Schizosaccharomyces pombe: one gene and its partners. The protein of the gene in region 3 binds, or shares a complex with, the protein of the main gene of each other region. Each region holds a gene or a part of one and is shown on either strand. Other genes may lie near its edges.

Region 1 (13,268 bases), 2.4 Mb from region 3:
GACCTCGATTGCTTACTTAAACTCGGTAATCTCGTCTTCCGTTACCCTACATGATCACGGAATTCATCAAGTCGTTTTTACTTTTTTTTTTCCTTCCCTTCTTTCTTTCGATGCCGATGATCTTCGCTACTCTGGGGGAGTTTACCGACGATCAAACTCATCATTATTCCACGCTTCCGTCGTGTGACCTTCTCCTTATTCGTGGAGAAGTTAAAGAAAATGCCAGATGCTTCTTGCATAACCCAAAAATTAGTCATCAGCATCATTCTTTCTGGTCCTTAATAGAAGGATGTTTGGAGGCGCTGCAATTTGGCTTACTAGCAATTCTTCAGGGATTATTTTCTCAGTTTGCATGGGAAGCCTGCTCTTGTACCTTTGCATGCATGCTTCTTACTAGCGAACGTACTGAACCGTCTTATCCGTTTTCCGAGATTACAGAGGTCAGTCGTGGTGGGTTGCACTTCGTTAAGTTGAATTAAGTATGCTTAACTCAGGTGAAGTCAATTTGTCGATGTCGATGAGATTGGCTAGTACACGAAGGGGATGCGGAGCTGCTAAGCAGAGGAGTGATTTAACTATGAAACCAATTCGTAGGATAAAGTATACTTTACCGATCGATATGGATGATGCAGATGTAGGAATCAATTATTCTACTTTCTTGTGAAAAGCATAACCCATGTGTATTATTTTCAAACAAGTCAAACAGATGGATAGCCAACACGCATATGACTGCTTACTCAAGTACAAATGACTTTTAGAGCATACCAATTTCAACAGACTTTTATCACTAGTGCAACTATCTTTTTATCAGTTGTAGTCTTTCAAACATCAATAATCACTGGCATTCACACACGGCAATACCAATCATTATGTTATTACGAGAACAACTCGTGAACAAATGGATTCCAGTGTGTTCTAGCATACACATAAATGTCTCGTCTTTCTACTTTATTATTTAGTCGATGAGTGGAACAATTAATAAACTTACCATTCAATATTGCACTGACAAACGTATACTTTTTTATATTTCTCTTTCTTTTCGTAGGCTTTACGTACTTACTCTTCCTTATTTTCCTCTGCAACGAAAAAGAGGATTGGATTATGGGCTTCGTCAAACGTTACAATTACAGAGTAACCTTGTAATAAGATGAAGTAAAATATAAAGTAAACGACGTGTAGTGATAAAAAATCTGTATTTTTGTCAAAGTGAACTTAATTGTTCAACGCGTTCTGATGTCATATGCCCAAAAATAATTCACCTACCCAAGGTAATTGAAAAATTTGTCAATACAAAACGAATGCTTTATAAACACAAAAGAAAACATGTCAGATTAGAGAAAGAGTCGTACGCTCTCATTGCTGAAAGCTTTTTATCCTTAACACTTTACTGGAATTTGTTAGTCCCGTTGACTATGTGGTTGTTAGATACAGATTAGGTAAATTCATTTATTGTGGTATTAAGCAAGGAGCGGAAGAAAGTACGTACTTTTTTACATTGTTAAAAGTTTTATTTGACGAAATTACAACACTTAATAAGTATCTAAGTATGCGATCGAGCTGATTCAATTTGATATCTCTCAATTAGAAAGTTGCGTATTACCTCACAACTACGATGTACCGTACAATTCACAATCTTCCTGGCTATGCAACTGTTTGCTATCAACTAGTCGCTTAGATAACCTTCTTTAACCCCATTCACTAGACACACTTTCCCCATACCCAGAAAGATGACACGAAGAACAGTGTAACGCATCAACTAGGTTAATTTGCTTAAGGTCGCACAAACAATTACCTAAAGAAAAACTTGCGCGTTTACTATATTTGTACTACTTATAAATATCACGATACGATTCGGGTTTAATGAACATTATATTAATCATTTCATTCAATAAATGTATTAATCACAAATCCACGAAGAAAAATTCATCTTCTTGTCAGATGGAGTATTCAGCCGTGATACAACGCGATATGAAAAATTTCTCACAAAGACCAAACGCCTTTTTGTCTATGAATTGCACTAGCAAATTGATAATGCTTCTTCTGATATCGCCCAGATGAAAAACATTCTCGTTTGGCATGTATATATAGAATAGTTATAGTGTACACATAAAATTGATAGACTCGAAACAAAAAATTCGGAGTCGGCAATTGATATCGAATTTAACCACCGAAACCATAAATGGTACGGCCTTGACGCTTCAAAGAGTAGACAACATCCAAAGATGTAACAGTCTTACGCTTGGCATGCTCAGTATAGGTGACAGCATCACGAATAACATTTTCCAAGAAGAGCTTGAGGACAGCACGAGTCTCTTCGTAAACTAAAGCGGAAATACGCTTAACACCACCACGACGAGCAAGACGACGAATGGCAGGCTTAGTAATACCTTGAATATTGTCACGAAGGATCTTACGGTGACGCTTGGCACCACCCTTTCCTAAACCTTTTCCACCTTTACCACGGCCAGACATATTGCACTATTAATATTAACGAAATAGAGTTACTACTATAAACAGTGCTTCTATTGCTAGTAGGGTATGCGGCATTTCACAATATATATTAATGCGCCGTCCCTATTAACTTACGTCAATTTAATTAAAGGGTTAGGGTTGTGATCAAAGTTGGATGTAGGGACATATTTATACAGCGTAATCTCCCTATAATTTGTTTTTATCTACACAGGGCAATTATCAGAACACTAGAAAATAATGGCTCGTACTAAGCAAACTGCACGTAAATCAACTGGTGGTAAGGCTCCTCGTAAGCAACTTGCCTCTAAGGCTGCCCGTAAGGCTGCTCCCGCTACTGGTGGTGTTAAGAAGCCTCATCGTTATCGTCCCGGTACAGTCGCTCTTCGTGAAATTCGTCGTTATCAAAAGTCTACTGAACTTTTGATTCGTAAGCTACCTTTCCAACGCTTGGTCCGTGAAATCGCCCAAGATTTCAAGACTGACTTGCGTTTCCAGTCTTCTGCCATTGGTGCTCTCCAAGAAGCTGTTGAGGCCTATCTTGTCTCTCTATTTGAAGACACTAACTTGTGTGCTATTCACGGAAAGCGTGTAACTATTCAACCCAAGGATATGCAATTGGCTCGTCGTCTTCGCGGTGAACGCTCATAAGCAACTTTACCAAATTGTGGTTGCCATCTGATGGTGTGATTTGGAATCTTTTGGTCGTCTATCCCATTGTAATCCTTCCCTCATTTACTTTGCCTTTCGAAACAAAATTTAACCTTGAGTGTTGTGGAATGTAACAAACGATATGCAAGTCTAATTTTTTGTTTCCGTGAGCTGCACTATCTATTTATATTTTTGTTTTCTTTTTTCGAGTTATACCGCGGACGTTTTTATTTTCGAAATGTATAGAAATTTTTAATTCTCTCTTTACGTCCTGCGCAATTGTGTAAATGAAACGCTGAGGAACTTCATCTGTATTCTTATATGCTATTTAATAGTAAATTAATTTTTAATATCATTATTGAAACACGATAAACTAAGGGTTGACCGTATTTGATTTTTTGTAGTATTTTTAAAAACTCGTATCGATAATTAATTAATTACTCGAAGCTGAACGCAGATTCATTAAATTCGGGGACATCGTCCGGTGTTGGCCGGATATCTTGTCCCATAAGAGTTTTTCCAAGTTTGGGGGAGTCGTGAGTTTTTTCCACTGCAGACTGCTTGTCAGTTACCATATAATCCTCAGTTTCAAGATGAGCAGTTGCAGGATTTTTTTGGAATTTCCAATTACGCAAAAGCCCAAGTGCTATTAGGTCACATCCTAATTGGCAATACACATTAGCATTATGCAAAACAAATCGATATTCAAGACTTTCATCAATTTGCACGTTGCTGGATCTTAAACATTCATATAACAAAATGAAGGCAGGATCATCAGACGGAAACTTATTTCGTACGGGTTCGTTAGTACTATTTCGTTGTGAATCTTTATTTTCGTGAATTTCTTGGTCGTTTTTATCGGATGTATAAAGTTGTATAAAGTCATTATCGCTGACCAGCGAGCGAATGGGAGATACCAAACTTTGCAAGGCCTTTTTTTCCTGTTTTAAAATAGTGAAACTCCAATTGGTGAGCCATCTATCGTTTTGAGATACAGCCAAAGGAAGTACATACTCGTTTATTAGCCTCTTTAAGGTCGGACCATCGTCGCCTTCATAGACTCGAGTCATTGCGATGGCTAATGAAATGCTTTTTAAATTACGGATACATACTTTTGCGGCATCATAGCAACTATCTGCCAAAAGAAAAAATGCAGAAGCATAAAAATATCTGTGCTTGCTTAAAAGTGCAAAAGCATTCTTGGATGCAACCACTTTCCACTTCTTTTTTGAAAAGTCATTCGAAAGCAACTTAACCGTTCGAGCTGATTCCTTATGCCAACTAGCAAGACGCCAAAGATCACGAAATACATTTATTTTGTGTAGAGCAATGTGATATAAACTAACATTCTCTGGGTTCCTATCGTCAATCTCAGCGTAATGATTGCGAGACAGCTCTAAAAATACATCTTTCAGTAGCTGCTCATTTAGCCAAAACGGTATCGCATATTCTTCAACAGCATTCCATAACAATGGTTTTCCATGAAGCTTTTTAGTGTGGTCCAACAGAACAGCTTTGTTAGAGCTATGAAAAGCCCACGCCATCTCTCGGGTGGGCAAGCTTGTTAATTGACGTTGATGTTTTGATAAAACGTACTGGTTTAGCATAATGCAATATCTTTTTCCGTTGAGGTCCAATGAATCTCGCAATGCTCTTGCCTTATTGAATGCCTCGATTAAATTAAGAAGTAAAAACTGAGATGATCGAGTGAGGGTTTTGACTTTCTTTACTTTTAATAATGCAGTCAACTTCTTTATCATTTCATCAATGTATAATCCTAAATGCTTTGAGACACTGGTCTCTTCAAAATCCAATTCCGCAGGATTTAGAATTTCCGCAGAATTTTGGCTGAGACTTTTTATTAAAAGGTCTTTAGAAATTTCTTCGTCACAGCAGTAAAACTCACTGCAGTCCATATTTAAGAGAAAATGCATATCTACATCATCTTTCAAACACAAGTAAAACCTTAGCAAAATATTAGTAAATAGAAAGGGTTGGTTTCTAAGTAAAAGCTGCTGCAACAATTGAGGATGAAAAACTGGTAAAATTCCATTAAGCTGGTATGCAAGATCAAAAATATTTTTTGCGGAACGTTTCAATGATGCAGGGAACAGTAAAGACTGATCTTCGGGAAGTGAATTATCAAAATAAAAAAGTCCGTTACCAATGGCAGTAACTAAAGTCCCATTATCCAACCAAGAAGAGTCAGATATTAATGAATTTGTATATTCTAAAAGATTGTATCTACGAATACGAGACCAACATGGAATATCGTTCATATAAGATCGGCGATTTTGGCACAAAAGAATAACATCATGTAGAAAGCCAACAGCCAAGATAGAATGGGAATTGGGAGTAGAAGTCCAATCCAAGTCATTTATTGGTCCATAATCATCAAAAACAGAGGAAAATTCTTCCTTTTCAGAGAATTCTGAACTACGCGTGTCGAAAATTGAAAGTCGACGATTGTTCTCAGATACAACAGCAACTTTCTTGGATGTTGAGCCTTTGATCATAGTTGCAGATTTGATGCTAGTTTGCACTTTGGAAATTTCCGATATTTCCGCTTTATCGTCTCCCAATACTCTTGCCATCCAAGTCTGTAATAAACCGTCTTTTGATATTGATTGAAATACCTCTTGATCAAATGAAGATAAACTGCTCAAATTTAAAGTAGAAGACCAACCCATGACATCTACAGCCGATGCGATATTTAAATTCTTTGTAAAATTTACCCGATCTATAAACCGAAGTACAGCAGAACCATCATGAGCTTCGTTAGAGACACTCCAAAACCAGGCATGGCCTCCTTCCGTCAAAGCACATAGGGCGGAATTATCGTTGTTTTGAACAGGAAGAATAAAGAAGGTTATTATCGGACTAGTAGGGACTTGACGACATGTACAGAGAAGGGTTGGAGGAATTGCTTCATTGCAATGCCATAATTTTAAAGAATTTAAGTTGAGTACTGCTGCATATTCACCAGCATAAAGAGGTAATATAAAGTCAGATTCTCCAAGTAATAATCTGAACCTGCAAATTAACTGATTTTTCCCGTCTTGCGATATGTATGATTGAAACATACAGATACGATTAACATCTCGGGATACAATTCCATGACCATTAGAGGTTCTTGTTAAGCTTTTTATGGGATAATCATGTCCATAAAAATCGTAACTAACTCTTAACTCAAAGTCACTATAAAAGAAATCGGTAAGACTAAACATGTATTCACGGGCGGAATTTTGAAAAAATAAAATGATGTTATAATCGTAAAATTCGTGTTTTGAGGTCCTGTAAATAGGTATAAATCCGTCAGGTTGAAGAGCGCCTTTGGGAAAGTTCGTTGGAACTTGATTAATAAGCTCAAAAGATGACAAAGTTTCCTGGTCAATTACTAGAGAAAATATGTACAAACATTCAAAAGTAAATAGCAAAAATATATGTGGTTGTCCACTGGCCAAAGCCAGAAGCCTATTTAAAATGCGATCCTTATGCACTTGACCAGAATGGCGACTTATAGCATGTGCTAATGCTATAGTAAAATCGTCCTTATCAATAAAACAGCAGTATGGTGGTTGATCAGATTTGTAGTATTTTCTCAAGTTAAGAAAACAAGAAAGATGCATTAATTGAGAACCAAATCGGCTACCAACTTGCCAAATTCTTAGAACGTTATCATAGCCTACCGTACTCAGGAAGGGAGTCGATCCACTGGCGTCCGGATGAAGGTGTTTAGACCATTGGGAAAACCTTACGCGACAAGGATGAACAAGATAGCTGAAATCATCACATGAGCTAACTGTACCTTGAGGAGATGTTCGCTGCCAAACTTTAGCAAGTGGATTTTTTGTTTCGATAGAAGCTATAAAACAAGCATCGGAAGAAATAGTGCTACTAAGGAATGAATCCGAGATTCTGTTCTGCGACCAAACCAACCTGGGTTTGTCTTCAGAGAAATTTATAAGTTTAGTGTATGACGAAGCACAAAGCAACAGATCAAAATTGTATCCCCAAGATAGTTGAGTAATATCTTCAGAAAGCTGAGTTATATAATTGTAATGATGAGTCCATTTCAAAGAATCGGCGGGCTTATAAATATCCAAAACTTGTCCATGTGCTATTGCTAGAAACCCCGTACGTTGGTCCAAAGCCACTGCACCAATAGACTCTCCAAATTGTATATTTTGATAAGATTCGTAGTTATTTACAATAATTAATACGGTATAGCGAGTTCCAAATGTCTACCATTTAGTTAAACAATTACTTCAATTGGAAACAATACTTTGACATGCTGCTTTCGTTCTGCAGTTTAACCACTAGCAGACAAACGCATATCGTTTGCGTCCATTCACTTACTAATATTCGATTTTGGTTCCATTGTACATTGTCGTAGGCAGCTGTACGTTTTAGAGGTGTACCGGGATTTGTGAATGCCAGAGGCATGTTTACTGCAGAACGCTGTGCATGAGCTAAAATTGGATTTTTTTCGACTTGCAAATAGTTAAGGGAGAAATGACAATGATAAAAGCTATTAATATCTGATTTGACCTAATAGCTGTCTACGTTCCATATACGCATTTGAACCAGTGTGAACACCACCATACTGCGGAATAGCGTAATATTAATTGTCATTCTGAAAAGTTTAAGCATAATGCAATAAAAAAACGCTAAATGAAAAGGCAATGCTTTCACGGTTCTTAATGCAATTTTAATATTCATCTTAAATGGTTACTCTGAGTATTTAATTTTCAAACTCAACGAAGTTTCGCTAGATTCTTTAATTGGTTTGATTAATCATTGAATCAGTCATTCGGATACGTAGGAGACATTGAGCTAGTTAGTGTAAAATATAATAGACTGAGATTTATCGCTGCATTCAATGTATGTTGTGCAAAACGCGGAATTGAAACCGTCGCTGATAAAGTATGAGCGTATAAGCGAAAATAATTACTTGAATAGAAAATTTTCAATGGAAAACTATCAATTCACGAAGTATTAGCTGACGTTTGTTCAAAGAAAAAAATTCAATCGTGAAATGTAGATTTTTATTTGTTGTTTATCTAAATTATGGCTGTAATTGGTAAAGAAGTAGGATAAATCACTTGCGGTTGTAACACTTGAAAAACTTGAAAGCTTTATAATAAAAACAGAAAAGAATCAAAAGCTGTTAGTTTTAAAATGTCAACCGTTCTGCCAATATTTCATTATATGTGATAATAAATGAACAGTTTGCTAAACTTATTCAAAAAATGGGCAACGGCAATACTTCAAAGATGGCATAAAATATGCAATTCAACTTGTAAAGCTACAGACTTTTTGAGTAAGCTTTACTGCTAGTTGACTTAGGAGGTTTTCTATGCAGCGACTTGAATTTCCTTCATAGCCTTTTTTCTAAATATAGGAAATTAGGGACCTAGGTTGAACATTATCTTCAAATCATTTCAATTGACCTGCGAACAAGTCGACGAACTCTTTTCTTAAATTCTTGTGCTGGAAAAAGTTAGTACGATTTGATTATTAAAGAGTAAATTTTTTTGTTTGTAGGTTAGTATATACTCACGATTTTCTCGAAATTCCTTGGCAGCATCTATATTGGCAGGGGACTCATCATTAGGGGAAGAAAGCATGGAAATTACACTAATCAATATGGTTTCCGGAGAGTGTACCGGAAGCCAACGTTCTCCAGCATCCTCGTATCCATACTTGTCATCTCCTGGTGGGTGAAGAATCGATATGCAAACTTCGCCATTCGGATGAACATTAGGGTGCCAAATTTCCGTTGTGAACTGTTACCGTTAGAATCGTTTTTAGGCATAGACTATGTAGTTTCTATCAATTAAAAAATCAATGTATTTACTATACCTTCATCTTTGGAGGCATCAGAGGATAATCCTAATTTTTCGAGGTTAGTGACCAGCTTGTTTACCTTATACAACAAATATTATTTTTCTGTGAAACATAAATACATACTTGAGGAAACGATAATGTTGCATGGAAAAAACCACCTTCATATAATGTATCTTCTGGTCCAATGATCATAACTTCCCATTCAAAAATGGATTTATCATCGACTAAACCAACGCTAAAACCCTGTGGAGGATTTTTTTGAATTTCCTATATCTATCAGTATGTGTTCAAGAATTAAGATACTATGTACAATCATGAATATTTGGATATGAAGATTTCGTGCGCTTACCTTTAGTTGTTTTCGAAGAAGTTGTTCACTAGCAGAAGAAGGCATACTTCCGATATTTTAATAATTACGTTCTAAATATTTGGTAAACTGAGAAAAAGTAATATAAAGACAATTTTTAAAGTAGGGTTGAGCTGAAGGCGAAATACTGGTAGTTGAAAAAGGTTTGGGCGAGCTTCGTAAATATAGTTAGAGTAATATTCCTTTTTTGTATTATTTATGTAACATATAATAAAGCTTTTAACGTAGAAAACATAAATTTAATTTACTCTAAGTAAACATTTTGGTTAAGATTACAATTTTCAAATTTCTTCTATGATATAGTACCTAAGGTTTTATTACACAAAGTAAAACAAACTGTAGTTATATATTGGATGACCGAAAAAAAACGGCATATTCCTATGAAATTATTTGAATATAAAAGAGAGTGTTCTCCAAGTCATTTTGTTGATTAATAAGGTTTGTAACGGAGAAAGCTCAAATTGAACAATAAATAAAGAGGTATGTACAAATGCCTCGAATAATCAATCAATTTTAATGGACGCATAAATTTTGTTAACAAAGAGAAAGGCGCCAAAGAAACCAACCGATCCACATAAGAAAAATACCAAAACAGAAATCAGTAAACTATAGCCGAAATAAAGAACGGCAGTAGCAAGGGAAGATGATGAGATTTTAAAAAACCAGTAAAATACTGAAAATATAAATACATAGATTCCACAAAATCCAGGTGTTATGAAAGAGCGCCACCACCAGTTGTAGTTTTCGGAACACAATTGGAAATAAACAGTGATAATGGAAACCATGATACAAGTGGTTACTAAAATACCGAAGCAAAAGAACGAGAAACCGAACATGAAATACAATGGGTGAAACCATAAACTGTCAAGGATAGAAAACAATTCAATAAGGATTACGAGGAATGGTATAGATCCACCGATAATCGCACTAGGAAAACTCGAAAGCCAAATACTATGAGATGGAATTTGACGAGGGATTTGGTTTGTCCTAACAGGTGGGACGAACTCTCGAGAACGAAAGCCGATTAAAGAACCGACAAAGCTTAATGGTACAGTAAACAATAGATACAGGAAAATGAGTAGAAGCCAGCTTGAAAAGGGTACAGTTGATGATGAACTTTTACTCCAAAATACCATGTTAAAGAAAAGAGCTGCCGCAAGCATAAAACCAGGTACGACAAAAGGAGTTAACAGAAGATTTCGCTTTCTAAGCATACCTTGCATCAGTTTGTAGGATAATGCAGATACATAACCAGAAACGAAACCTGATATAATGAATAAGGCCACCGTTGCTGTAGCTAAACTTCCACGACGAGAGGGTGCAACAATGCCAAAAATTGCAAATAAAACGATACCAGAGCTCATAAAAAGAAGTTGTGCACCAGTCCCTAAAAGGATAGAAAATAGCATGGGTCTACGAGGTGGACGAAATACATCACCATGAACTAGCTTCCAACCAAAATCTTCTTGAACATCTTCTTGATCGACAAAGGCGCTATTATATTTATTAATGTCACGATTTAGCGTTCTGTACAAAATAATAGAAACCACAAAAATTAGAAATGTGTCAATAATTGCGGAATGGATAATAAAGATCCATCGAATTTGCCTAGATTCAATGTGCATATATTTGTCCCATCGGGTAGCCCATGGAGTATCGGAATATTTCCAAGAGACTGAGTAAGAGGTCACGAGAGTAAGATCAGCTCCTTCCGGTAAATACTGTGGATTTGAAGACGAAGAACAAACTGGGTTTCCATCAACTAAAGTAGACTCCTTTGAGACAGGTTTTACATAAGCACCCACAACACGGTGTTGGTCACTAGATGTCGTATGATATTCTATAACTATATCATAATGATTGAATAGAATTACTCCCTTCTCCGTATTCTTGCCTAATGGAAAGCCTGGCGATAATGAGTAGTTCTTTGAGTTAGTCCCTTCTAAATATGTTGCTACGGGCAGATTATCTATGTTCCAGTTAACAACGTAGTTTTTGGAGATTAAATCTCTAATAAAACTGACATCTGAACTGGGAATTATCGAGGCACACAAGGGAACACAATCCTGGTTTTCAAGCATTTTTATTTCAATGGGAGAGTTGTAGAGACGGTCGCCAAAAAGCACACTTCCAAGTGACTCAGATTGTTTTGCGATATTCTCTGGTCGACAGAAGTGGAAACGCTCATCGTAGTCTAAAGTGAAGTTAGTAACAAGCAAAAAAGTTCGAGAGAAAATGTTATATCCTTCATTAAATCATATTTCTATAGTGTTTTCCTAATTTAAAATTGTAAAGTTTTTAAAAAAACACATGAACCTTCATGTGAGCTATCAACCACGTACATTCATAATTAAAGATGTCAGAACCCCGTCCATCTCCAATAAATGGTGAAATGGTATTGACAGTTGTATCAATTGAAGCACCGGGAGGATAGTTTTTCGGACTTAAGGGAGTTAATTGAAAACTAAAACAGGTTTGGAGAAGAACGGAAACGAAAACAACAAAGCTAAATGAACACGAGGGAATACTAGGTAAAAGCATATTTTACTATTTCCCTAATTCTTGGCAAAGACTCGAAACAGAATCTTTTCAAACCGAGATGATTAAGACTAAATCAATATAAAGTGCTACGGTTTTGGGGATTGATGCTGGTAGCATTTAATTTGAGGAATGCTGCTGTACTCTTAGTATGTCTCTTTATTGTGCTATTAACAATCCTCGTATACCGGTTTACGACCTGCTAACTTTCGTTATTCGTATATGAGGTTCAGAACGTGAGAGTTGGAGAACATCGATGTAAGCGAAAACATATCTGTTGAGTTTTCTTGTTATAACTTATTTATCGTTACATAATAATTGAAAGTTTAGTACTAAAAGTTGCGAAGGAACAGGTTGGAATGTCCTTAAATGACTTTCTGCAAACTTTGAGTAACGCTGTTGGAGAGAAAAACTCCAATACGTTGGAGAAATGTATTATTTTAGATCCATCAGAGCCCTCGTTTCAACAGCTCAGTAAAACTCTTTTTTTGGTATGTCGCAGGCTTGCACTACAAGTAATTGTCTTCAGGTTATAACATTAACTAACCGTGATAAAGGATAGAAAGGGGAAAAATAAGTTAAACGGAACCATTCAAAAAGAATTTGGAAGAATAAGAGGTTGGAAGGAATTGGTAACTACCTATTTTGAGTACGTTGAAAATGCTGCATCTTCTCCTGATCAACGAAAATGGGAATTGTTACAAAACTTGTATAGGTAATTAAAAACTTTTTGTTTATTATTTCTCACTTTTGTTTTTCTAGTAACTTGACAACTTGCTTCTCCCATATCGATGGAGCATGGTTGTGTACAATTGTAAAACGCGTTTCAAAGCTTTATGTAAAGCTCTCCCTTCAGCTAGATACATCTACACCTACTTTAGAAGATTCTTTTGATGGTAATGGGTTCATACAGAGGAAATACGTGAGCGATGCATCTAGGAACGTCTTACGAACGTTCAATAGTATACTGAGTGATCGTCAACAAAACATTAACCCTTCGAAGAAGGATGCGATATTCTGTATTGCCAATTTACTTTGTTTACTATATTTTCGCTTAAAGCAAATTCGTCTTTGCCAAACTATTCAAGCTAATGTCATCTCTTCGGGTGCCGATATTTCTCGCGCTACAATGGCGGAATTAGTAACGTTTCGTTATTATTTAGGAAGGTGTCATCTTTATCAACGCAAAATTCATCAGGCAAAGGACCATCTACTTTTTTCGTTTCTTCAGTGCCCTGATGAGTGTTATCATCAAAAAAGGTATGTTTTATTTTACTCAAAAATAGGATTCGTTTATATTTACTAATCAAAAAAGGCTTTCTCTAATCTATCTTACAACGTGTTTACTTATATTAGGAAAATCGCCAACAAAAGGGCTATTAGAAAAATACAA
Region 2 (10,477 bases), 720 kb from region 3:
TTTCCAATGAAGCATTGATCATACCAAAATTGTAAATTAAGGAAAAAGAAAAATAAGAGTATCAAAAATAAAGAAGTAGGGTATATAAAAGACGGCTCCTACTACAGAAAAAAAGACCACGCGCACAAGTAAAATATTGCTTTATAAAAACCAAGCCACAGTAGCTCAGAGTTCTTGACAGCGCCTTGCGATTGAAAAATTCTTGGAAATTCTAAATTAATTTTTGTTTTCCAATAGCTTTTTTTGTTGTTGCTCATCAATACCCAAGAGGTAAAGAGCGTTTTGCAAAGATGGAAGATTGATTTTCGAATCAGCCTAATTAAAAAAAAAAATCGAGTTAGTAAGATCATTAAAAACATAAATTTGTAAAAAAATTTCGAACATACCAATAATTGAACTTTGGGTTTAGCTTTGAACGCAATTCCTAAACCGGATTCGGCCATCATGACCAAATCGTTAGCTCCGTCCCCAACAGCCATCGTTTCGAGCTTATTTAAACCCAACTCTTCCCTCTTTTCACGCAAAATGGAAGCTTTTCGTTGTCCATCTACAATTGCACCTTGAACTTTTCCAGTGAGGAATTTACCATCATCGGAAAATTCAAGTACATTGGCATATGCATAGTCCAAGTCCAGTTGTCCCTTGACATATTCAGCCATTGGAACAAATCCACCACTAGCGACAACAAGAGTCGCACCCATTTGCTTAAGGCAATGACAAAGCTGTTTAGCTCCTGGAGTGAAAGTAATTTTGCCAATGACTTTATTTATGACATCGACGCTCAACCCTTGTAGTAGAGAAACGCGACGACGAAGTGATTCTTGAAAGTCAATTTCCCCATTCATTGCAAGAGATGTAATCGTAGCAACCTCTTTCTGGATGCCTGCTTCTGCCGCGAGCTCGTCAATACACTCTTGTTGAATCAACGTCGAGTCCATGTCAAATACTACAAGCTTCTTTTTAGTGGAAAATGTTGCTTCACTCAAGCAATTACAGTCTACATTCTCAGTAGCAGAAATGCGGTTACAAGCGTCTTTAGCATCTTCAAACGTTCCTTTAAGTTGGCCTGATACTAAAGTCCACTGTTCCCCCAGAGAACGAGTCTTCCCATCTCTAAACAAGGAGGAAATCTGTTCAAGCACATTTGGACGATTTGAGGAAACAACTATGGCTGCGTTGACCATGCTTATTAAAAGGTATGAGTGGGTTTGCTAAATTTTCTAAGTTGAAAAGCGTTGTTTTCGGCAAGTCCCATTTACTAATTACTCGGCTATTGATTAAGCTTAACGTTAAACGACAACAAGTACTAGGTCAATTTAAGTTATTTGAAAATCTCAAACAAGCTTATTTTTTGTTATTGTTTACAAATTTATCATTATCTTCAAAATGCTGTATAAATTGTGAAGTTGGTAAAGTGGTGCCTAAACTCCGTTTTCAAACACAGGTTAATAAGCAAATATTTTTTTTATACATTAAAGCAATAAAGCAAGAAATCATAACTAAGAAGATGTTTGGAAATATTGCAATATATCAGGGCAAATATTCCAAAAATGAGAGCCTACCATAAAGTAGAGAGTGAGATATTTGTAAAGTGAAAAAGCACTAAAAAAATATTTGGCAATGTAATAATTGTTCTCTTTCATTCCTAAAAGGTTATACACAATTTAATGTGCTTTACTTAGAGAATCGCTCAAGTACCTCTTCTGATACACCTTTAACGGGAAAAGTGCTGTATTGAATAGCAGAAGGTGCCTTTCGAGGTTCTTTACTCCTATCTCCTCGAGGATAATACTTGTAGCTATAATCAAGACTCTCATCACTTTTTCCGCTACTGCTTTTGGTGTCTTCCCAGGGGTGAGCATTTTTTGAAGGAATTCGGACTTGATCTTCATGTTGTACCAACAAGCCCCGCTGTCCTAAAAAACTGTTAGCTACAATCATTTAATTTAAACAATCATATGTAAATGCGCTTGTAAAATAAATATTCTGTAGGAAAATTTTAACAGAATATTAAAATTGAGTATAATGTTTCATTAACTGCGCTGATTTCTAATTTTCTACTAATTTTTAACATACCAAGCATATAACCAGCAACTCCAAAGGTATAAGTCATGACACACCAAGTTATCTAACAGCAAACTGATCAGCTTACGAAATAATCAACTCAATATATTTTTCAAAAAAAAATTGAGCTTACAAATAGTTCTGGATATTCTCTTGACCAGCGAACCAGGCGGTTCGACATAATTGAGCGCATAATTGACATGATGGTTCCAAAAATAAAAAGTTCTTGTTCGCTTGAATAGTTTGATTAATTGTTTCGAGATGGAAAGGATCTAAAATCCTTTTATGATTGTAAATGTCAAAATGAAATACGTAGGCGAACATTCGCAACATTTATGACAAGCATCAATATTTATGGGGATCGCCACCTGACGCAGACAAGACGTAGCAACGGTGCGCATTAAGAGATTCAAATTTGAATGGATAATAATATCATAATAATCACCAACTCCTTCTACTAAAGTGGTGAAAGAAGCAACTTTCCAATATTTCTAGATTTTCCAGCGTTTGCAATCGGGATCGAACCGCCCTTGTATTTATATTGCTTTATACAGTTTTATAATACTTTTCAGATACTACCTCTACCCTTGTATTATACTATAGAATTTGTTAGGACACTTATTTACTAAACTTTTCCTAAGATTATATTTGTAAATAATAAGAAGAGAACACTAAAAAACTTCGCAAACAAATAAAAATGGTTCGTACCATTATAAATAAATATAGTCATTTTTCAAAATTTAGCTGCCATGAGGTTAGTAACTTAATAGTAGTTGCTGACCGCAAATGTTTCTCCAGTAAAGTAGGTCCAATGTACAAGTACGTTTAAAAGCGTCATTGAGATTTTCTAAGGAATAAGAATTTAATTCATTTCCCTTTAAAACAGGAAATAAAACCAAAGGACCGCTTGGAGTCATGCATATTGAGGAATAACAATCTAATTCGATAATCTTGTGAACTACATTTCCACTAAATACAGTGAATGAAGCCAGGATGGTTTTTCTTAGATGTAGATTAGTAATAATTTTTCTTCAAAATTTCATCCATAACTGACCATATACCGTGTTTCTTGAGTTATTTGTTTACAAGCCATAGAGGTTATTGGGTTATTTCGGGGCTAGTGAAAGTATAGAGATGATCCTTTAAATTAGCCCTTTCATTAATAGCTTCGCGATAATCATAATTTCAATAGTTGCAACACTCTAATAAACTTTTAAGATCTTTTTTCGTTGCTTCCGTACCTTCATTTCTAATATTTTCTCAATTACACCCTCCCATTATTTTCCTGCTAGTTATTTAGCCATTTTAAAAAAAAAAAAAAAAAAAAAAAACATAATACACAAGATGAAAATGGTTTACTAGCTAGTCTACTTCCCATGATATTGGTCTTTTATCTTAGTCTTTGGAGTCTTTATCGAGTCATATATTACTAATTTTTCCATATATTATCCACTTTCTTTACAAACCCGAAATTGCACGGATAGTATAATTTATTAAACTTGATTTTTCTAACTTTGAGCCCTGAATTGTTGTACTGACAGGATGTTCCAATTACAGTATCGATGAAATATATTTAAATAAAAAGTTTGAAAAATATAAATACTAATATATTGGCACTCTTAAATAATTTTTTTTACATTTTATTCGTAAAAAAAAAATAAGTACTTTATTTATTATTATTAATTTTATTTCTTCGGTTAGTATTTTTTTTTTTAGCATTTCATTTCATATTCTGTTTTTATTTCCCTTCTCTTTTTAATACACTCTCATCGATTAAATAGGCGCCATTCCAAATATTAGTTATTAGAGTCACATTCTCTAATTGTTTATTTATTTTGATTTCTTTATTTGCTTAGTAAACAAACTTTGGCGGATGCTAATATTTACTTCACCCTCCATCGCAAAAGGGGTTCATATCCTTACCGACAACAAAACTACAAGATATAATACCAGGTGTAAAAATAGCTGTTTCTTTGCCATGTTTGTTGTTTAGAGAATATAATCATGAGCTATGAGAAACACAGTGATGCTAAGGCATCCCGCTACGCGTGGAATCAGCCATGGAATCCATTTGAGGTGACTTTGTCTGATCCAACGTATCCCATGAATTTGGAAGAAAAGAACCAAATTCCTTATAGATTTCAATCCGTTCCTGATGATGTTCCGGAAGTACCGCATATTGAAAGCCGATATAAGAATTTACCAGGAAACAATATCTATTTATGTTGTGGTCGATTGCAAATGTCATCTCAGTACAAAGCTTTCCTCATTAGCTTGTTTGCCTTGATTCTTCCAGGAGTCCTTTTCTTCATCTTTTCTGCTTTTTGGCTCTGGCATCATGTCTCTCCCGCTGTCCCTATTACCTTTGCTTACCTGTATGCCTTAGCCGTTGTTTCCATGTTCAAGTGCTCGACTGCTGATCCAGGAATTCTTCCTAGAAATGCATATTCTTTAACTTATAACCCTGCCCATCCCTGGTCTGTAATTCCTGAAGACCGTAAAGTCCTTGTTGGATCCACTCGGTCTGACTCTGTCTTTGTTAATACAGTTTATTGCCATACGTGCCACTTATATCGTCCTCCACGTGCAAGCCATTGTCATTTATGTGATAATTGTGTTGAATACCTTGATCATCACTGCATTTGGTTAAACACTTGCATTGGTCGTCGAAACTACAGATATTATTTTATTTTTTTGTTATCTGTCGTTCTTTCAGCTTTGTATCTAACTGGATTGGGGTTCTATACTTCTATAGGAAGTTTTCATGAATCCACAGATACAAATTTTGCGGCGCATCTTCGTCGTCCATGGGCTGGCGTATCTTTCTTCCTTGGCATTTATGGGGCACTTGGAGCAATACTTCCTGGCATCCTTTTCTGTTACCAGTGCTATTTAATATCTGTTGGTCAGAATGTTCATGAATACTTACGAGCAAAGAGTACAGAAACTGAAGATGTACATCCTTTTCATGACAGCATATGGCTCAATTTTCTGGTTGTCCTTTGTCGTCCTAAAAATGTGAGTTACGTTCGTCCCACTAGGAAGTCTTACGTGTAATATGCCTTGGCTTCACAAAGAAAATAAGAAATAAAAATTTTTTATTTGCTAGACAATAATGCTCAAATCGCTCACGCATATATGCTACACTCTTTCATCTTCCCCTTACCAATTTACTTTTCAGTACCGAAATTAATTTGGTTTTAATAACCGGAATAAAAAAGATTACTCCCCTCTTCAAAATTTTTACCTGGATAATGTTTTGTTCTTTTTTTTCATCCTTGTCGTCGACCCCTTCAGCTCGCCCTTTGTACTTTACAGAGAACAATGTACAGAAACAAATGTTTATAAAACTATTCCTTGTTCTCACCAATCTCTGGAATTATTAATATTTAATTTGGCTGCTCTCTTTTATTTTTAAAGTAATGCTGCTTGTTTTTATGACTTATATGATAGATAGATGGTTTTACCTCCTTTAGCTAAACCCCTTTCCAGTCTAATTTATTGGGATTTGCTCTTTATTGTTCTTTTTTATTATTATGATTGCCTTTTAGGCAAATCAATGTTCCATAGGTAGATAGTTTTTCTTTTTTTAATGAAATAGCTTATCCACATTTAGAGGATAGTTTTCTGGAAAATAATTTGGTATTAGACTTCTTTAATTTGATACTTGAAACTTCTATAATATTAGAACTAGCTTTGCATTACTGACCGGCTTGTTCATTCTTACTCTGGTTCATGTTGCTCCGTTCCCAGGCTTGTGTTTTCCATTCACCCTCTACAACCATTCGGAAAGCTGGTTACTGTAGTTAGGCTATAAAACTAATGACAAACGGCTCTTAAACCTAATGTCTTCTTTACACGAGCATTTACGCCCCATTCCTGAGCCTTTTTCTTTAACTTTGCTACTGGGAACAAGAGAAACACCTGTCACATTTCTGTTCCATTATTATTTATACCATGCGTTGAAAGCAAAGGAAAGTACTTGTTTTTTAACATTCAGTAAAACCTTAGATGAGCATGCAATTAGTATGCGTAAATGGGTATGTAAAAAGAGGGATTACGATTGCATAAGTGGTTGAATGATAAACTATTCGTATGACTAACCTACTGAACCAATATTAGGGAATGGATATTAAAACGAAAAAAAATTTCTTCTTTATCGATGGCTTCAGCATGCTATTTGCTCCTATTTCCAAGCCTTCGAAGGTACAAGCACCAGAAACCAAAAATCACATCAAATCTGTTTTCGCGCCTGTGATCCAATGTGTGGAGGAAAACGATTTTGAATTTGAAAACTCCACGATCATCATAGAAGATATTGATATTTTACAAAGTACTCATGCTCTCGATTCCACAAAGATTCAGCAGGCAATTTTGGAATTACGAAAATGTTTCAGTAGAGTCATTGTAAACGTGACTTTGGGAGCTCCGTTACCACAACAAAAGTCTTTAGGCTCTTCAATCGGACACATGGCAACTAGATGTATTTCCTGTCGGCCTTTGACTAGCGGTAGCGCTCGACGAATCACCGGATTCCTGCGTCTTTCTCGAATGCCAAATCACTTTCGTAGTGGAATATGCGAGACCCCGGAGGATGATGACAAGGAGCTTTTATACGAGGTAACGGAAGCAGGTGCTAAGGTATATTCCAAAGGGCAGGTGACGCTGCAACTCTAAATTCCTACTTCATCTACTTTTTCTCAATTATCTGCTGCTGCAGTCTCTTCGTCTCCCTTCTTTTCCACTTGTACATTATCTTGCACCCACCGTTTTACTAAAAATGTTCGTTGAGGCCTGGATTCATCTCCTTCTTCATTATCCTCATCATCTTCATTAGAATATGTATCTACAACAACAGGAACCCATTCTCTGCTCCAATGCACTGCTGTTTTTTCATTTTGTTGAGGTTCCACACTTTCTGAAGTCCTATTCATTGTATATTTGTAGAGTTGCGAGTATCACAAGGTGCGCGCGAATTGGTATAGGTGTAGGTTTACAAGGAAGAACAAGACGCTCTCTGCACAGTGTGCATTGATTTGTGAATTTGGAATTAACGAACTAGGTTTGGTTATTTTTTTATTTAAAATAGTGCTTTTTTAATTTAAAAAAAATTGATCGAGCCAGTTTGGTATTCATTGAAGGTTGTAGGGTAAATCGTTGTCATACAAATTTTTTATCGCATTTTTTGGAATAACTACTGGGTTGGGTAATATTTTGAAACATCTTTCATACATATAGAAGACCGTGCTACGAAATTGTTAGGAGATATGAGTGGTATATCAAAATTAAGTGATTTTTGGGTTGAAAAATATAAAAAGGAGTCGAAAAAGTCTTGGGATAAGTTTTACAAGCGAAATGAAACAAGGTTTTTCAAAGATAGACACTGGCTTGATCGTGAATTCGATTGTTATTTTGGATTGCCCGATAAGTTGCCATTGACTATCCTTGAAGTCGGATGCGGTGTTGGAAACCTCGTCTATCCTCTGCTAGAAGTGCAACCAAATTTGAAGATATACTGCTGTGATTTTAGTCCTCGTGCTATAGATTTTGTGAAGGTAAGGAGAGCTACTAAATTTATGCCAATTTGCTCTGAAATATTTAATTTACTAACCTTTGTCTTAATTTAGAAGCATTCCTGTTATAACGAAAATAGAGTTTTTCCTTTTGTTAATGATATAACCGAAGATTCTTTGCTTGAAGTTTTGGGTTCTGCTTGCATTGATACATTAACTGCCATCTTTGTATTATCTGCCATTCCACGCGAGAAGCAGCTTCGTTCTATTAAGAACTTGGCTTCAGTCATAAAGCCAGGAGGGCATTTGGTGTTTCGTGATTACTGTGATGGCGATTTTGCTCAAGAGAAATTCATGACAAGCGGTGACCCATCTATGATTGATGAACAGACGTTCGTTAGACAGGATGGAACTTTATCACTTTTTTTTCGAGAAGAAGATATTGCTGAATGGATGAAAAGCGCCGGGTTTGGCTTAGTAACATTAGATCGAGTTAATCGCACCGTTGACAACCGAAAGCGTAACTTAAATATGAAGCGTACGTTTTTACAAGGAGTTTGGAAAAAGCTGTGAATACTTTGGTAGAAAAAGTTTCTTTGTTTGCGTATTTTTTATTCTTTTATATAGGGCTTTTAATGTAATCCGTTTTAGACATGAGTCCTGAGTTTTATTGTAAGGTTTATGACAGTAACTTTAGTTTTTTGATAATTTAATTAATAAAAATAGAAAATCTTTGTTTTCTTAAACTACACTCGCATATGCTATTTAATTGTTATCAACGAGTGACTAGTATAACTTTACTTACTACCCACCTTCAGCGTTAGCTGCTTTTAAATATTTTTGTTTCAACTTTTTTGGAATGATATAACACCATATCTACTTTATAAATCCCGTTTGTAAACTATTTTATTATGCAAACGGAAATTGATGCTTCTGTTATCGTTAAAGAAAAAGAGTGGTTGGAGACTAATGTGCTACCGGAATTTTGGGAATCTATGTCGGAAGGGTTAAAGGAAGCATTGAATTTAATTTCTTCCGATGATCCAACTGTCCTAGTTTTCACGTCTCCGAAAACCGACGCCGTCAAAGGGATTGTTTCAAGAAGCAGCAGTAACGTAGTTCGTGTCAATGTCACAGCGAAGGTTGGTCGTACTACGCATGTTTTAAAGCTGAAAGATTCTGCTATTATTCATTTGGACCAAATACTCAACTTGAGTAATTATATGCATTACGCTTTATATTGCTTGCCCCGATTGCGACATAATACAGAACGTGCCATAAAGGAATTGCAGGAAATTTTGCATGCGATTGTATGTCTACTTCATTCCATCATGCAAGAGGAATCTGAAAAAGAGGAGATCCCATCCAATGCCAGCAGTATATCGCTAAAAAGTCAAAATTCCATTGTCTCCAGAACAAGCAACCCTTTTAGTTGCCTTAACCATTCTCCTCGTCAAATACACAAGACCGTTCGTAATCATTTATTTTCACCTCCTCTTCCTTCTAATTTAGCTCTGAGCTTCAGCATTTCAAATGCTTCAGTCTGCCTGCATTTATTTAGGCTTTCAGGTCCCAATGAAGTTTTAGAGTCTTTTGCAAAAAATTCCGTAGATATAGAAATGCTTAAACCTTTTGTTTCTCAAAGAATAGATGCTTTTTCTCAGGATCCAATTCTTCTGGCAGTAACGGCAAAACTTTCAGCGTTACAAAAAAAGGTTAACGACGTTTCATATAGGTTTAAAACCATTTCTTCTTCTTTATATGGTGCCAAATAAATTGAATTTTTCAGTGGCAGTACTGATTTGCTCTCTGTTCAATTGCCTAAGCAGTTATAAATGGTTTGATATTGGGAATCTCCCTGGTTTTATGTTTTGAAACTATGTTCAGTTTTTCGCTTGATTGCATGATTAACTTTGTATTCTATGAATTTCATCTACATATTTGGCTTTTTCTCTTGGATCTCATTCGTTTAACCTTACTGCATTCTACTTACTTCATATCCGCATGCCACATACGAATCAATATGTCAAGTTTATTGAAGTTAACATCCATTTCTTTGAGATTTATCTTTGTGTATATATTATCCATTACTTACGATATATGTGTTTTCTGTCCTAATTTTCCGACCTATATATGATGCATTTAAAAGAAACAACTGTACATGAACTATAGTAGTGGAGAGCGAGAAAAGCTATTCCCATTATTGTAGCTTATAGCTTTGCTTTTCATCAACGGAGAAGTTATTAACAACTTCTTTTAAGCCTATCTGATTAAATATTCGATTGAAGATTTTCTTTCTCTTTGCTTCAATTTGCAATTCATTTTGTCCATGTAGTTTAGGAATAAAATAATGACACTTCTAATTTATGCATGATACACTATAAGCATGAATTTACCAAGAATCGTGAAAGTATTTCACAATGTATTATAAAACGAGAGAATTACTATCTTAAAATGGGTGAAACCGAAAAGTAGGTTACTATGCTGCATTAATCGTTAATTTAAAGTGCTTTTATGTACATTAACTTCTTATGCTTTTCAAGCAATTATAATATTACTATACGAAGATATAATATTATTTGTATTGTATTAAAGCGACAGAAGATGCACAAGATTTCCATAAGAGAATAATTCTAGTATGAATTATATTCTCACACACGCCTTGGTGGCTTGAACGTTGTGTCTTTCAATATCACTCCACCTTTAAACATTTGATTTTTGTGGTATATTTTGATCGCAACGGTTAAAAAGGACAATTTCGCTCTCGACATTCAATTTCCTTCTACTACCGTCTTTCGACATCCGCCCATTTGATACGTTTCAACTTTCACCCTGAATGGTATGTCTGCCGTAATTACATTGACTCCATTAAATGAATCATTTCAAACGAAGAAATTGGT
Region 3 (7,178 bases):
TACTTTAAAATTCGCTAAATTGGTTTGGCAATTAAAATGATATATTATTCGTTAAAATTTTAGCATAACCTTTCTTATTTAACTTTAGGTAGTTTGTCATCTTGAGTTTGTAAACAAAACAATAATTATCCATTTAACAATTATAAATTAAGAATTGATACTTTGTGGATAATAATAAATCAATTAAATTTTTTGTAGTTTTTTATTTTTTGAACGCCGATTTTCTGGCTGAAATTCTAGTTACATGCCTCAAACGGACAGGTTCGTTAACTTAAAATTCAACATCGAAATATTCTGTACTTTTTTAAATCTTTAAGTAATGTATAAAAAACCAGTATGAAATTTTGAAAATGTCAATTGAATTTACTCAAAACAATCAAAAATATTGACATCTACCATGATACATTAAAATGTTCATAATAAAAAATCAAATTAAATTAAAACATTAAAAGACTAAGGGGCATATAATTATTAATTGTGCACGAAAAAAATATAAAAATTAAATAAACTGTTCCCCAAAAATTGAAATGTTAGGATTCACAAATATTATCAAGCTATATTGAAGGGATGAAAACCGTTGACTAATTATCTAATTTTATTTATTTGCTAATTGTAACGAGTTCAAAAATTCTATTGTTCTATACAAAATTTGTAATTAATATGAATGTAAACTAAATTCACGCAATCATTAATTGTTAATTTGGAAGCTTGATATTATTACGATTCGCATTTTACATAGCTGCTGTCACTATTTTTAAGAAAAGAATCGGATTTTTTTAACAATTCATTGTTTAGCGCTATTATATTACAACACTTCTTTTTTTTTTTTTTTGTTATAGTAAACCGCTAATGCAAACTACATAGGACTATTAGCTCCAATCGTTCACCATATTGAATGGAAGAGTAAAGATAATCTTATTGATGAACATCCCTATTTTGTAACAAGACAAAAGCAAGCTTTAAGCAATTCGGGATAGTAAGTTCAACTTTCTAAATCGTAATTCACATACGTACTTAAAACAACAGTAAAAGATAACGAAATGTGCTTTGTTGGGATAAAATATGTTCATCAATGTACATTTGTATATATGCGATAATGAAATTGATTTGCTGCGACTTAATACGACCAGTGTTGGTACGTCAAGTATCAAGTGATCGCACGCATCGTGAAAACTTCAGTAGTAAAAAATCATCAGTATACTTTATATCAATTTTTTTTTTATAAAAAAAAAAAGGCGCATGATGAGGTGGATGGGAAGATTCCCATTTTACACTGAAAACTACACTTAATGATCCAAGGACAAAAAACTTTATACACAAAAAGCCACAAACTATCTGTCTTCGGCCCATTCCTGCAAGCGGTTAGAATTAAGTTAATAAAGTACCAAGGAACGTACATTTTCTTTACGGATTTGCTCTTCCTCCTCAGGCGTAAAATCATTAGGGATGTTAAATGTTTTCCGAATGTCCTCAGGACTCTTGCCACGAATCATGTTGGCAACGGTTTTACAACCAGTATCAAGCAAAGGTTTAATATCCAAATAATTGCTTGCCAAAACTATCTCGAACAACATTTCCTGGTCTACGGCCATAAACTTACGATCCCATTCATCAATATCGGTAGACTTTTTTAATCTAATGTCACTTTCCTCCTCAGTTCCTGAATACAAATCGTTTTTGTGATGCTCACACCATTCGAGTACCTTTCGCAAAACGTTCGATGATACGTTTGGAAGAGGAATGGGGACATTAATCTCACCAACGTCTATTGAAATTGAGATTTTAGTAACAGGGTCCATAATAATTATTGCACTCAACAAGCGCTTGTATAGATCATACCTTCAAGCATATTTTTTATAAGCATACTTCTCTCAGCGATCAGTTGATCTATAAACAGTTTGTCAATTCACTCAATTCAAAACATTCTCCGTTCTACATACCGACCACGAACTCTTCATTGTCAGATGAAATCAGTTTGATTTTGGACATTGTTGATGTATGTAAGTAATGGATGAATGAAAGTTAAGCTGTTAGCATTTCTAGTTATGCTGATATTCCTACAGTGGCAGAACTCACTAATTCGATATTGGGAAAAGGTGCTAACCCTCATTAAATCAAATTGCATAGCAGAACGATCCCACCGTGATAGCTAAAAAAGGCTACTGAAGAATAATAAAAGAAAGCATAGAAATTGAGGTTTAAGATGAGTCCGTACTATTAATGTATAATTCGAATATAGTTAATATTAGTGTATTCCTCCACTAGAGCTTAGTTGAGGATATAGAAACTCTAGTAATGATTTACCAAGCACAAATCAAAAGCCACACTTCTAAGCAACTAACAAAATAAACCGACTAAACTGTTAATCGCCTGAGTTATATGTTCCTCACAGCAATAAAAACAGCAACAAATCTATGTATTATTCATACTTTTTGATGGGATATACGGAAATCCCTTTTACCTCGTTATTATCATATCTGAGTACACCAGACAAAATGCAACATGGGGTTGGTACATTGCAGAACAACTTGCCGTTTAAAAATCATAACTCACTAGTTTCCTCTTTGGAAGCTAATCAGTGTTTTCAATGTAAAGGAATTAATTAAAAAATGTTAGTGGAGTTACTAGAATTCACTCCTCTCTCCTTCATTGATGATGTGATCAACATTACGAACCAACTGTTATATAAAGGTGTAAATGGTGTGGATAAAGCCTTTTCACAAACGCGGTTTGCTAAAAAAGCGCCACAGGAAATAGAAGAAGGACTACACAAGTTCGAGGTTCTCTTTGAAAGTGTGGTGGATCGTTACTATGATGGTTTCGAGGTGTATACACTTCGAAACATTTTTAGTTATCCACCAGAGCTAAAAGGCTACATGCGTACGTTTGGAAAGGATGTAGACTATTCAATCACAACAGAGCAAGACGCCGCCATGGATCAAGCAATTCAAGAGGCTGCAGAAAAACTCGTAGTAAAGATGCAACTACGTCGTGACCTTCGCATGCGTCTCAGCAGGAAAAGAGAAAAAAAAACAGAAATAGAAAAGCATTTGGAAAGAATTTCTTTTCTCAACAAAGTACCCGAAAATTGGCAAGTTACTTTACCAGAAACTACCGATTTCCTTCTTGATCAACTTGGTAATCTGCAGCATGCCGTTAAAAGAGTAGTTGAAGCCTCTCCCACTGTACACTCACGAGAGGTGGATGAAAGAATTACCTACTTAGAAAAAGGTTACGAACGATTATCTAATCCCATCGACCAGCAAAAGGATTTTTGGTCACATCACTTGTCAAAACTAGAATCGACAGCCAATACTGAAACTGCAAATAACATTCATAAGTTGCTATTGTCATCTGAAAAAGACGTCGGACATACTGACGAGCCTTAATACTAATCAACTAGCTAAAGTCTTGAGATGTTCTAACAATTGTGATCGTTTACGTAAACTTTCATAATAAATATATAAGAATTGGCGTTGGATCTCTAGCGAAAGCAAAGTAATGCTTAATAAAGAAAACTTGGATTGTCTCTGTCACTTTTTCCGTTACATTTTTATTTGTTTTGTTTAACTTCTCTTTTTTCCTAAATAACTGAATGGATAATAATTATTCTGACCCATTAACTCCAAATCTGTCAAACAATTCGACACTTGTACATTTTTCATGCTCTGCCACTTTGCCAATCATTCCCAAAGCAATATCCCGTATTTCATTATAGGTATGGAGTAGATCGATATGTTTTTGTACAGTTTGCTTAGCATCTCGATTTCTAAATCATTTGTCAACATTAGATAAAACGAGACAAGCTTGATGATGACTTGAATAGATTTGATGGAACGGCAATACATTGCTTTTCCCAAAATGAACCTGAACGCGCGTAAAGGCGCATAACTCATATTTTCTACCATTTCTAGCATCACTTTACCACACTTACTTTAGCTTAGCTAAAGCGTCTTGTAAACTACTTTCCAATTGCTCCTTCTGCTGTTCAAGCAAATGGACGCGTGACTCAAGTTGAGACTGCAGTAATTCATCAGTATTTTGTGAATGAACAATGGTACCGTTGGCTTACCTTTTCCATACGATTTAAACAGTTCTTTCTTAATGAAGCAATGATGTGTGAAATTTACTAGGAAGGTATCTGTTTTTGAACACCTAGTAGAAATTAAGTTGTTGAGGAAGGCAGGAGCCTACCGATTTGTTCAATTGAAAACAATGTCTATTGTTCTTGTAAGAGAGAATTTAGATTAGTGATGAAAGACAAGTAAATTGTTGAATCACGAACAATGGCTTATTTCAATATAATGAACTTCGCTAATTTGTATAAGAAAGTATAAGGATCACATCGGTTTTCGTATGCCCATGTACAAATTGCCTTCTTGCATGTATTTAAAGAATTGCTTACATTAGCATTTCCTGATTTAAAAATTGTTAATAAACATTTAAATTTTCCCATCTGTTTGAAGTGTATACTTAAGAAGTTTCAAATTCTGAACTTGTCTTAATATTTTGTCTCTTATTGGATAAAGCACGATTTGATTCCAAGCATGTTATTTCCTAGAGTTGTGCCGTTTCAATCTTTAAGGACAGCATTCCAAAAGAAAACCTTTTTACCAGTATCTTCAGCTGGTAACGTTTTCACTCCACGTTTCCAATTGCAAGCAATTCGCAGCATATGGATCCGATCGGAGGAGACACCGAACGAAAACGCTTTGAAGTTCCTGCCAGGGCTAGATATCTTGCCTCCAACTATCGGAAGCTGTGAATTCATGAGAGGACAAGGAACTGTGAATTCTCCATTGGCACAGAAACTATTTGATATAGATGGAGTTGATAGCATTTTTTTTGGAAAGGACTTTATTACTGTTTCCAAGGGAGCAGGAACTGAATGGGCTCAAATGAAGCCAGAAGTGTTTAGTGTAATTATGGAGCATTTAAGTAATGGAAGCCCAGTACTCTCTGAAGAGCCTCTAAAGGGGGCTAGCGATACTCAAATATTAGAAAGCGACAGTCAAATTGTTGCAATGATTAAAGAACTGATCGAGACTAGCATTCGTCCATCTATCCAAGAAGACGGTGGTGATGTGGAATTTAGAGGGTTTGATGAGAAGACAGGTACCGTTTCTCTTAAACTTCGAGGTGCATGTCGAACCTGTTCGTCATCAGCTGTGACACTAAAAAATGGAATTCAGCAAATGCTGAAGCATTACATTCCGGAAGTGGAAAATGTTGTACAAGTTTTAGATCCAGAAGAGGAGGTTGCAATTGCCGAGTTTGAAAAATTTGAACAGCGCATTAACGGAAACAAACAGAAAGCTGATAACAAGTAACTTTTTCCATTCAACATAGGGAATTTGGTTCATTTAAAAGACTTTGGTGATAGAAATTAATAATTGACGAACAAAACGCTATTTATGAGTTTTAAGAAAAAACAGCAAATAACAATGAATATTTACACTGTATTCGATAAAAAACACATACTACTATATAAGACGATTTGTTTAATCATATAATGTTACTTTCTTGGTTCATTTTCGACTGCAAATTTTATGTACGAATAATGAAGATGTGTATCATATAAACTACAGGTTTCATCAACACCTGTATTATTCAGAGATATTTAAATGTTTTAATAATAGCGAGGGTACATATTTATGAAATAAATAAGTAAAAATTTTGAAATACTGTTGGAATGTTTCGTTGATGTCCCTGTACGCAGATGACTATTTTCGAAATTTGAAAAGGAGAATTGATACACAGAACGGAGTTGAGTTAATGTTAGCCTTTGGCTCTCTTTTGCTTAAAAAACGATACTCGAAAAATTGACTAGTTAGAAAAGGTGGTAATGCATTCGTATATTTTCAATTAAGCTCTAGGTTATTAAATAGGTATACATAAGCGAATTATGTTTGGAGTTGGGAGATTGTATCAGCGTTACGAAATATTCGTCAATCATTTCATCTTTGCTAATTGCTGATTAACCAAATGATGAAGTTAGTGCTGAGCTTTATTTGTTTAAAAAACTTTGAGTATAAGCGAAGCGATAGATTTGGAATTGAAGTGGTGCACTGATACTCGACAATATTCCGTACAGTACATTGAAAAGTCTGATTGTAGATACTTCTTCACCAGATATCTAATTCTAAGCATACAGAAGTTGCAAGTAAATTTCCCCACTTTTCCCAGTACTCATTAAGCGCTGCATTAATTCGATTAAAAGGGCTATCTTCTTAATTAATGTTATCCGATTTCGACAATGATAAGAAGAAATGAAGGTCGCCTATTATTTCGAAATTTTAGTTTGATTCAAACATTCATGGATCCTTAGCGATAAAGGTTAGTTCCAACATTACATTAGATCCTCGGAAATAGTAAAATCATAGTAGACATTATTCAGCTTGAAATAAGCTAGCGATAAATGTTTAATATACAGGCGGTTATGAATAATAGGAAGATTTGGCGATCTAGCATATTTACATTCTTGATAGAATTTTAATATTTATAACGTAAGAGAAGGGTCAAATATAGATTATATCCATTAGCCTATTAAAATGCTCAACAAATATAACAAATTAAACTATTCATACGAATACACTAACTGTAAAGAGGCATCTATCTCATCTCAATAAGCTTGGTATTTTAGAGGTCTCAAAAACAAGAGGGCAATGATTGCAATAACATATTGTCATTCGTAAATGAACACCCCTATAATTTACCAAGCCTTAGAAAGTAAAAATAAAAACTTGAAACTTGATATCATTAAAGACTCATACGGGTTTTTGCTCGCATACTACCAGCCTTTGATGAATCCTCATGAGCACTATATTCTATAGTCTCTTTATCAGAAATCCCTAAAACTTCTTTAAAGCGCAGGCTACATGTTTGTTAGTCCAGTCAACTACCAACACGTTACTCTTAAAACTTCACATACCCGATTTTTTCCAAAACATCTTTGTCATTACAATTTCGTGTCCATACAGCGATTCTATAGAATCCTTTCCTCATATTGCAAACTACACCAGTAACTTCTTTCCCAGTAGGGTCTAATGTTTCTCCAATGGCTGCCAGCACCTATTTCCATACGTTAATACTTTCAACTTAAAAATTAACATTCTGTAAAGTCGATATCACAGCAGTTAAAATGAACAGACCATGACTTACCATATACAGCCACAACT

The links.
Region 1: skp1 (region 3) and rav1 share a complex: the UniProt entries of both Schizosaccharomyces pombe proteins name them as parts of the RAVE complex.
Region 2: skp1 (region 3) and rav2 share a complex: the UniProt entries of both Schizosaccharomyces pombe proteins name them as parts of the RAVE complex.

Annotation. Positions count from the first base shown.
Region 1 is NC_003423.3:3,518,971-3,532,238, reverse strand, and holds rav1 (RAVE complex subunit Rav1), read right to left. Parts: upstream 7,704-13,268; 5' UTR 7,567-7,703; coding exon 7,480-7,566; exon of another isoform or gene 7,365-7,479; coding exon 3,558-7,364; 3' UTR 3,394-3,557; downstream 1-3,393. Other genes in the region: SPOM_SPBC1105.13C (uncharacterized protein), read left to right, coding at 51-479; hhf3 (histone H4 h4.3), read right to left, coding at 2,161-2,472; hht3 (histone H3 h3.3), read left to right, coding at 2,710-3,120; ubiquitin-conjugating enzyme Ubc15, read right to left, coding at 8,555-8,613, 8,684-8,909, 8,986-9,015, 9,094-9,237, 9,320-9,364; EMP70 family endosomal transport protein Emp70, read right to left, coding at 9,841-11,531, 11,680-11,878; TREX/TREX2 complex subunit Pci2, read left to right, coding at 12,235-12,366, 12,433-12,590, 12,638-13,135, 13,191-13,268. UniProt on the Schizosaccharomyces pombe protein: Component of the RAVE complex which is required for stable assembly of the vacuolar ATPase complex V-ATPase.
Region 2 is NC_003423.3:1,861,041-1,871,517, reverse strand, and holds rav2 (RAVE complex subunit Rav2), read left to right. Parts: upstream 1-8,370; 5' UTR 8,371-8,488; coding exon 8,489-9,352; 3' UTR 9,353-9,977; downstream 9,978-10,477. Other genes in the region: phosphoserine phosphatase Ser2, read right to left, coding at 217-315, 387-1,184; SPOM_SPBC3H7.08C (uncharacterized protein), read right to left, coding at 1,675-1,916, 2,077-2,128, 2,198-2,266; palmitoyltransferase Erf2, read left to right, coding at 4,069-5,121; elongator complex subunit Elp6, read left to right, coding at 5,910-6,104, 6,187-6,741; protein tam8, read right to left, coding at 6,765-6,998; trm141 (actin binding methyltransferase), read left to right, coding at 7,332-7,619, 7,692-8,150; csc1 (FHA domain-containing protein), read left to right, coding at 10,419-10,477. UniProt on the Schizosaccharomyces pombe protein: Component of the RAVE complex which is required for stable assembly of the vacuolar ATPase complex V-ATPase.
Region 3 is NC_003423.3:1,134,959-1,142,136, reverse strand, and holds skp1 (SCF ubiquitin ligase complex subunit Skp1), read right to left. Parts: upstream 2,010-7,178; 5' UTR 1,990-2,009; coding exon 1,941-1,989; intron 1,888-1,940; coding exon 1,840-1,887; intron 1,766-1,839; coding exon 1,398-1,765; intron 1,353-1,397; coding exon 1,332-1,352; 3' UTR 897-1,331; downstream 1-896. Other genes in the region: MIS12/MIND complex Mis12, read left to right, coding at 2,610-3,389; protein Swi5, read right to left, coding at 3,607-3,769, 3,935-4,020, 4,073-4,081; NifU-like protein nfu1, read left to right, coding at 4,548-5,330; tif452 (translation initiation factor eIF4E, 4F complex E subunit isoform 2, stress response factor), read right to left, coding at 6,760-6,874, 6,932-7,071, 7,162-7,178. UniProt on the Schizosaccharomyces pombe protein: Required for cig2 degradation in the G2 and M phases of the cell cycle. Together with pof6, essential for septum processing and cell separation.